Linked DNA regions of Oryctolagus cuniculus. The protein of the gene in region 1 purifies or fractionates together with the protein of each later gene. This does not show direct contact. Links are inferred from orthologs where the notes say so. Each region holds a gene or a part of one and is shown on either strand. Other genes may lie near its edges. The genes, in order: NCOA4 and FTL.

Region 1 (4,534 bases):
TGCTGAGCATGGCATGGGGGAAAAAAAATCAATAAGCCACAACCCACAATAACCACCTCTGCAATAATCAACGCGTCGAGATGTAAGCAAAACTTCACGGGTCCCCACCAGTCATCGCCCAGGCCCTGGGTAAAGGTGGTGACTACCAGGTCAGAAACGCGGGTAGCATCAAGCTTTAGAATTTGTTGGGTTAAACTGAAGAGCGCCTGAGAAAACTGCCCATCCAAGAGCCCCGATGCAGGCTGACAAGGTATGGGACCAAGTTTCCCAGTCTAAGACAGGCACGCTGGAGACAGAACCATCTGTGAAGCCAACGTCACACTGGGGGTGCATGGTCTGCCAAAACAGTTCAATCTGTTTCTGATGTGAATCCAACCCCTGTTCTAAGGCCAGGATCGCTGTTTTGATCTGACCGGTGGCTTGGTTTTGGGTAAACAGGGGAGTGGCCGTTAGCTGAGTGACGTTGTTCACCGGTGCACTTTGGACTAGGGAAATGGTGGCGACAGCTGCACCAGCTACCGCAGTGACAATGGGTATAACAGAGCGATGATCAGTCCAAGGGTCCTCTTAGTCCGCTCTACCAGCTGCCTGACTGCATCCTTGAAGGGCTGGTCCCAGGGTCCAGTCAGTTACTGTGTGCCCGGACAGAAAGACAAATCACTGGGCCCATCCTGGAACCCAGCCTGGTCACCGGCGGCCTGAGTTTAACATCAGGGCTGCACAGATCAGCACCACCAGCAGCGGGCCCATTGGACTAGGGGTCAGGGACAGGTGTTGGGCTTGGTCCACCAGACCCTTGAGGTCCTCCATGTCACCCGATGTTGGGAGGAGGCAGGCCTCTTCCTTGTCTCTTCATGGGTGGCTTGTTTAGGGAAAGGTGCTGAGGTTGGCTGTTAGAGGGTCAGCCTTTGGAGACTGGGGTCCAGGGTTTGACATTTCGGGCCGGTATACACACAGGCTGAGGAGCGATCTCTGGAAAGACTCAAGTGAAACCTCTTCCCATAGTTGTCAGGGGATCGGGTCCCCTCCATTGTTGGGTGGGCGGGTCCTTCCATCGGACCAGGGGCAACTGGGTTGCGCCTGTGAGAGGTCTCCAGTGTCTCACCGCTGGTGGCTCTCCAGAGGGTGAGACTTGTTAGAAATTTAAGGTGAAGAGAGCAAAAGTTAATGGGCTCACCAAGACTTAATCACAGAGCCGAGTCAAAAGCTCCTAGCCGCACCACGTATCAATGACTCACTGAAGGCCAAGGTTTTATGTCCTCATTCAAATTATCGAGTGTTTAAGCTCATGACTGACTTACTGTGACAGCCCCTGAGAATACAATGGTGTGACCTTGCCAGCTAGAGGAGAAGCGATTCACCAAGGATAGAGCAAAAAGTAACCAATTATTTGGAATAAGGGCCTGGGCGTTACCAGTCCAGGTGCAACACCAGGACCTCTGCAGAGGGCCCTCCCACATGACAGAGGAAAGCTCTAGAAAATACTAAGAGACTCTCAAAGGGGGAAGGCGCCCGCTTCGGGAGAAGCCCCAGAGTGTTTTGAACCCCTCCCCCAGCCTTTTTTGAGATTGCAGCGCAGCTGATTTAATACAACGGGAAAGGTGTGGAGGGTGCTACCTAATTCCAAACCGCGAATTCCTGCACCTCTTCTCGGCCTGACCCCACCCAACGTTCCACTTTCGAAACACCAGTTCGCCCAAAGGCAATGCAAAACTGGAGAGATTCGCTGAGACACAAACCATCATACAACTTGAAATACCAAAGATTTTTTTTCCCCACCCCGACACCCAAGGACAAAGGCGCGGCCACAGAAGAGTCGGGGCAGAAGTCAACTGTGCTAGACTCTGCATCTCTCTCTCACTCAAATGAACAAACCTGCAAGCTGGCAATCGCCAAACGAGCCAGCATAGTAGCCTGCCTGAGTCCCAAGGCAGGAGAGGAACCTCCAACAGTCCTGGCTTCCGATTTCCAAACGACCAAGCAGGCTTCCCAAAGGCAGTGACCCGCGGGGACGCTCCCCGGACTGGAAAGTAACACGGGGAGTCACTCCGTTCCACCCTCCCCGGCCCCCGTGCCACCTCCACGGCCCGAGGCCGCGGACGGAGCTGTGACTGCTCCGGACACAGGAATCTGGCTGTCCGGTTCTCTTCGCCGCTGGTAACCTCTCCACCCAGAACATTGCGGGCCCTGAAGAAATGATTCTCCACGGCGTGAATCAGAGTGAGCGCAGCACGCCCTGCTCCTCGGCTGTGACACGGACCGAGGTCACCCCGCTATGTGGGGGAGAAGCAAAGGAGACGGCCCCGAAACCACTGTTTCTTTTCTTTTTTTTTTTTTCTGCATTTCCACCTGACGAGCTAGGCTCACGTGAACAGGCTCTGGGCCAGAGACCCAGACCCGAGCACCGGGAACCAGGGGCTGTCACCGCAGGGGCTGGCCGTGAGGGTGGCTGGGGGTACGGGGCCAGGCCTGAGCGACCGGGAGCCCCAGGGAGGGCGCGTCAAGGGCCAGCGAGGCCAGGCCAGGCCCCGACGGTGGCCTCGCGCCGGAGACGTCGCACGGAGGAGTCGGAAGCCAGGCCCGGGCCGGCGGCGGGCAGGAGGCCCAGCCCGGCAAACCAGCGGTCACCGCACCCCCGGCGCTCCCGCCCCGCCGGCCACTCCCGTACTTACCAGCTGCGAGCGCCTTTTCGGGGGATCCGACGCGAGCTTGGGTTGACGGAGACGCGGCTCCACAGAAGCCGAGGCTGAAAAGACAGAGTTCTCGCGAGAACGCCACTTTACTCCCACGCCTCTCGCCGCCCGTCTGACACTCTCGCGAGAGCTCTGCCCGAAGCCCTTGGCTGCCCTCTAGAGGCCGCAGAGCGCAGATGCACCCTTGCTGCCTGCCCTTAGAGTGTCCTTTGACTTCTTCGCCGAATAAATCAAATTAAATGACGCCAAGGTTTCTTGTTTTTGAAGGCAAATGCTGCACCCAGCATGGGATCCTAAGTGGTTCTCTCTCACCAGATGCCCTCACAGGCTTTCTCATTGAGATGCAAAAGTGTGAGAAGACACAAAAGGTGGACAGTTGTGTAATTCCACTCCCATGCAGAAACCAGAGCAAATTCCTAGAGCCAGAAAGGAGCATGGCATGATGGTTCCCAGGGGCTCCATGAGGCAGAGCGTGGGGAGCTATTGTGTGAGGGGCATAGGGTAAATAGCTAATATCAGCCCAAATTCCAACTCCCTGGAACCACTCCCAAGGCATGCTTAGCTGCTCCCTAAGGGCCATCTTGCACACCCAGTGTTAGGTGTTATCTATGTTAGTTTTATCTATGGCGCGATCTATACCCTGATTTACATCCCAGGCTCTAGCCCCTGCCACCATGGCTGAAAGCCAGGTGGCCACATGGCCCAACTTCTGTTGTCATGCTCCACCCCCACCCTAATGGGATTCCCTGCTCCTGCTTCCCTGCCCGCCCTCGGGCAAAGTTTTAAAAGGGCCTGTTCCTGCACACGTGCTCTCTTGGCTCTGCTCCCTGCTCTCTTGGTTCCTGTCTCTAGCCTCCTCCTCTGGTCTCTTGGTTCTTCTCTCCTGCTCGCTCTCCTCTCGGTTCTTCTCTCTTGTCCCCTCTCTTGGCTCCTCTCCTCCTCTCATCTCTCTTCTCCCTCCTCTCTGACTCTCTCTTATAGTCTCCTCCTCTCTTTCCCTTCGCTGCCCCTTCACTCCGGACTGTTGGATGTTCCCCAATAAACCCTTCCCCTTATTCCGGCATTCGGTGTGTTTTGTGATGGCTAACAATATATAACACCCTGCCTCCCTGCAGTGCCTCCTCACACCAGCTTCCCAGGGTGGCATTACCACGTTGGGATTCTGAGTGTGTTTGTAGCCAGATGCCTAGGGGGGGCTCCACACTCATTGCCAACTGCTTCCACTTTTCCCAGACAAGCTGAAGATCGTAATAGGAGCTTTAAAACAATTTAATTCATTTATTTGAAAGGCAGAGTTATGGAGAGGGAGAGAGAGAGGTCTGCCACCTGCGGGTTCACTCCCCAAATGGCCTCAATGGCCAAGGCTGGCCCAGGCTGGAGCCAGGAGCCTGGAGCTTTTGGGTCTCCCACGTGGGTGCAGGGGCCCTAGGACTTGGATCATCTTCTACTGCTTTCCCAGGACTTAGCAGAGAGCTGGATAGGAAGTGGAGCAGCTGGGACTCGAACCGGCGCACCACAATGACGGCCCCCAAAAGGGGGTCTTATGGGTCCCACTCCATGGCGGCTCCTACAAGGGGCAAGGCAACCCGAGTAGAAAGTGGCGGAGGCACCGGTGGGGATACAGAAGGGGAGCTGTGGAGAGGGGCTCAGTAGGGGAATGTTCCAGAGGCCCACAGCATTCCCAGGGGAGGTCGGCAGCCATGGCGGCTGTGCCTGTGACACAGGTGTGGGGTCTGCAGGGAGGCTTGGACATAACCAAAGTCACTATCTAGTGTGGACAAAGACGCGGAGGGGCCCGGCTGCACTGCTCAGCTCGTCCGCGCACCTGTTTGCACAGATGG
Region 2 (3,607 bases), on another chromosome or scaffold:
CCTGCCGGGAGGGGCGTGGCGCTGAGCAGGCCTCCAGCTCCCGGTTCACTTCCTCTGCTCCCGCAAAGGGAACAGGGGTCAGAGCTGACCCAGCAGACGCTTCTAGAAACCCGCGTAAGCTGCTTCAGTTCCCCTTTGGAGACTCTGGGCCCGGGTCGCACGTCTGGTTCCTGTGCTGAACCCCAACAGCATCACGCGCCCCTGCTCCTCCTGACCTGTCTTCTCGGTACGTGCCCTGCACCGGAGTTACCCCGGCGCGGGCGCAAGGAGCAGCAGCCTTGGCCGGCCGCTCTGGGCTGCCCGTGGTGAAGGGTCACTCATTGTTTACCTGCCTTTCAGAGCTTGGCCCGCTGCCTGACCCCATCACCGCCCAGGCTGCTGAGGCCGAACAGGGCCTTGCTGCCAGCCCTCCCTGAACCTGGCCCGACCCGCTGGGCAGGGCAGTTAACGGCCAGCCGGCCTGGCGGACCTCTCCCCTGCCAGCCCACTCCGTGGAGCCCTGAAGGTCCGTTCCGCCGCCTCCACCGTAATGCACACCACAACCCCATGCTGCAGCAAGAAACTTTATTTCCGTTTGGTCCCAGGTTTGGGAGAGGGTTCAGGGCTGTGAACAAGCTGCCTGGCGGCTGGCAGGAGAGCGCGGGCAGACGCGCGGCGCCGCTGGCTCCGGGCGCCCCTAGTCGTGCTTGAGCGTGAGCCTCTCGAAGAGATACTCGCCCAGCGAGGCCTGGGGGCCGCTCAGGCGGCGGATGTTGGTCAGGTGGTCGCCCATCTTCTTCAGGAGCTTCACCTCCTCGTCCAGGAAGTGGTTCTCCAGGAAGTCACAGAGCTGACGGAGAGAAGGGGAGATCAGACGGCGCACGGAGGAGGAAGGCTCACAAGGGAAATCAGCCCAATCAAAGGCGCGGTGGCGGGGGCACTTACGTGAGGGTCCGTGTGGGCGGATCCCAAGGCATGAAGGTCCAGGAGCGCCTGGTTCAGGTTCTTCTCCAGGGCCAAGGCGGCTTCCATGGCGTTGAGGGTCTTGCCCCACTCATCCTGGGACGGCTTCTGCACAAAGGACGAGGGGCTCAGCACTGGGCCCAAACTCCACTTTCCCAGCAGCCGTCGGGGGCCGGGGACGCTCAAAAGAGGTGGGCGGGCTTGTACTTACTACCCCCACCCTCCTACAAGAGTCGCCTCAGGAGACCACGCAGCGGCCCGGACCGCGGGGCCCTCAGGGTTCACCTCCTTTTCCAACCTTAACGACTCGCTCACGACTGAACTCAATCTCCCAGAAGGCCGCGCGACACCCAGCCGGCGCTCGGGCTCCGGTCTCGGCGCGCGCAGCCCGCCGGGAGATGTAGTCCGCGGGCCGCACACCAGGTACCTGCACGTCCTGGAAGAGGGCGCGGCCTCCGCGCTGGTTTTGCATCTTCAGGAGCCGCTCGGCGGCCTCGCGCTTCTCCTCCGCCAACTCGCGGAAGAAGTGGCTCACGCCCTCCAGAGCCACATCGTCGCGGTCGAAATAGAAGCCCTGCGGGAAGACGCGAAAGGAAAACCGTTGGCGGGAGGCGTGCGGGCTCCGCCCCCGGCGCCGCCGCGGGACAAAGCGGGCCCGCGCACGCGCAGTTGTGTGCAACTCGGGTCGGGGGCGTCCCGCGGACCCTCACCAGAGAGAGGTAGGTGTAGGAGGCCCGCAGATGCAGATTGACCAGGTGGTTGACGGCAGCCTCCACCTCGGGGGAGTAATTCTGACGGATCTGGGAGGTCATGGTTGGCGGCGGTGAGATGACCACAGAACCGCGGTGGGCTGGTCCCAGGAGCAGGAGGTGGCCGAGAGGTGGTCCCGGAGCTTCTGACTGGAGAGGAGGTCGGAGGGCGGTCGAAGCCTGTGAGAGAGTCCCCGGGCCTGTTCCGTTCAAACACTGTTGAAGCAAGACACAGGTCCGCGGGTCTCCCGACGCGTAGCTTCGGGCGGCTGCTTGGGCGGCGGCTTTTATACTCTGCTGGCCCTCGGGGGCGGGGCTCGGAGGGCGAGGGCTCGGCCAATTGGCGTTTGGGGGAGGCAGGGCCTCCGGGCGGCTTCTGACCAATCAGGCGCAGAAAGGGGGTCTCCGTCCCCACCCTGAGGTGGGGAAGTCACGCGCCTGTTGCGCGAGCCTGTTGTGAAATGGAGAATGGGGGTGGGGGTTCTGTGGCTGGTTCGGGGAAGTCGAGGGCTTCTGAGGGTCTCTCCGGGAGGTGAGAGGTTGGTGGGTGCCCGGGGAGCCCCTGGGGAGTGATGACCCTGTGGTCCTGGGGCTACCTCAGGAAAGCAGGGGTCTGTGGCCGTTTCTGAGAGCATGGAACTTTCTGGAACCCGGGGGGGGGGGGTCGTGCCTCAGAGCGCGGAGAGGACCTGCAGGCTGCCAGGGGTTTGTGCTGTGAGCTGAGGGGTCTCCCCGAGCAGGAGGGCTGTGGAGGGCTGTGGAGGTGGCTGTAAGCGAGCCCTGCGGATCTCTGGGAGGAGGGGGCTCCTGCCCTGAGGCCTGGGGGTTAGGAGGAGGTGGGGACACCATGGGCATCCACATTTAAGTCCTCCCCGGGAGGCCTTTAGGCGCTCCAGGTGGTCATTGATGCTGGGGCGTGTGGAGCCTGGGGTCGAAGTGGCGGGGAGGGGTCCTGGAAGTCTATTGGGGCGCGGGGGGAAGGGACGATTGTAAGAGGGGCCCGGCCCCTTAAGGCGCACAGAAGCCTGGGCTCCTCGGATGCCTTGGAGTCCGTCGGCGCCCAGCGTTCCTGGGAAGTGAGATGGGGAGAGTGAAACCCCCCGGGTGCTGGGGTCTCCCTGGGGTTGCGTTTCCTGGGGGGGCTGTTATGGCGGTAACCCAGAGACTTGGGGTCTCCCGTGGCCCCGGAGCAGTCTCTCTACAGAGGCCCCGTGTCTGGCCTGCCACCTGCTGCTTCTGCGTGTCCAGGAGACGCCTTGGGCGGCCGAGGGACAGAGGTCGGGGACACAGGGGCGGGGTGCCTGTCTCCCCGGAACGTGCATTTTTTTTAAACGCACCAGATGCATGTGGGTCTGGGAGTCAGGGGCTCAAACCAGCGCCCTGACCTCGGGGGAGGAGGAGCCAAGGCAGGACCTGGACCCCACTTAAGTGGCCCCTGGAGGCAGGCCTGGGGAGCCGAGGCCCCAGGCGCGGGGTGCAGGGTCAGGACCTGGGCGCTACAGCTCCTGGCCAAGGCGACCCCCAGGTGCTGGGCCCAAGCAGTATCTGGGGCCCTCGGCCTAGGCGGGTGACCAGGCCGGGATGTGCTGAGTCATGCTGACTCCGCGGGGGGAGGGGAAGGGGCAGTGGCCAGCGTCGGCCTTGGAGCTGCTGACTGCTTAAGACCCTTGGGACCAGACCCAAGGCCGCGCGCTCCCCCAGGGCGGCACCCTGTCTGAAACCGTGTGTGCGTTCTCGCGTGTCTTTGGTTCCCAGTGTTTTCCCTGGGACCCTGCGTGTGACCACGGTCTCGCTGGGCGGGGTGGCCACCCAGGCTCCCCTCAGCCCCCTCCACACTTACTGTCTGCCCAGTTTGCCTGTGGAGTTACTGATTCACCACATTTTCCACTTTAGCCTGAAGACCTTTAGCCTCAGGT

Evidence for each region.
Region 2: the proteins of NCOA4 (region 1) and FTL purify together in Homo sapiens (co-immunoprecipitation; 3 studies listed by BioGRID and IntAct, counting the BioPlex papers as one, with this or other methods). This does not show direct contact. The link is inferred for Oryctolagus cuniculus from reciprocal best matches to the Homo sapiens genes NCOA4 and FTL.

The regions. Positions count from the first base shown.
Region 1 is NC_091446.1:82,699,528-82,704,061, forward strand, and holds the start of NCOA4 (nuclear receptor coactivator 4), read right to left. Parts: upstream 2,829-4,534; 5' UTR 2,673-2,828; intron 1-2,672. UniProt on the Homo sapiens protein: Cargo receptor for the autophagic turnover of the iron-binding ferritin complex, playing a central role in iron homeostasis. Acts as an adapter for delivery of ferritin to lysosomes and autophagic degradation of ferritin, a process named ferritinophagy.
Region 2 is NC_091449.1:8,287,857-8,291,463, forward strand, and holds FTL (ferritin light chain), read right to left. Parts: upstream 1,856-3,607; 5' UTR 1,755-1,855; coding exon 1,653-1,754; intron 1,517-1,652; coding exon 1,370-1,516; intron 1,051-1,369; coding exon 925-1,050; intron 830-924; coding exon 677-829; 3' UTR 549-676; downstream 1-548.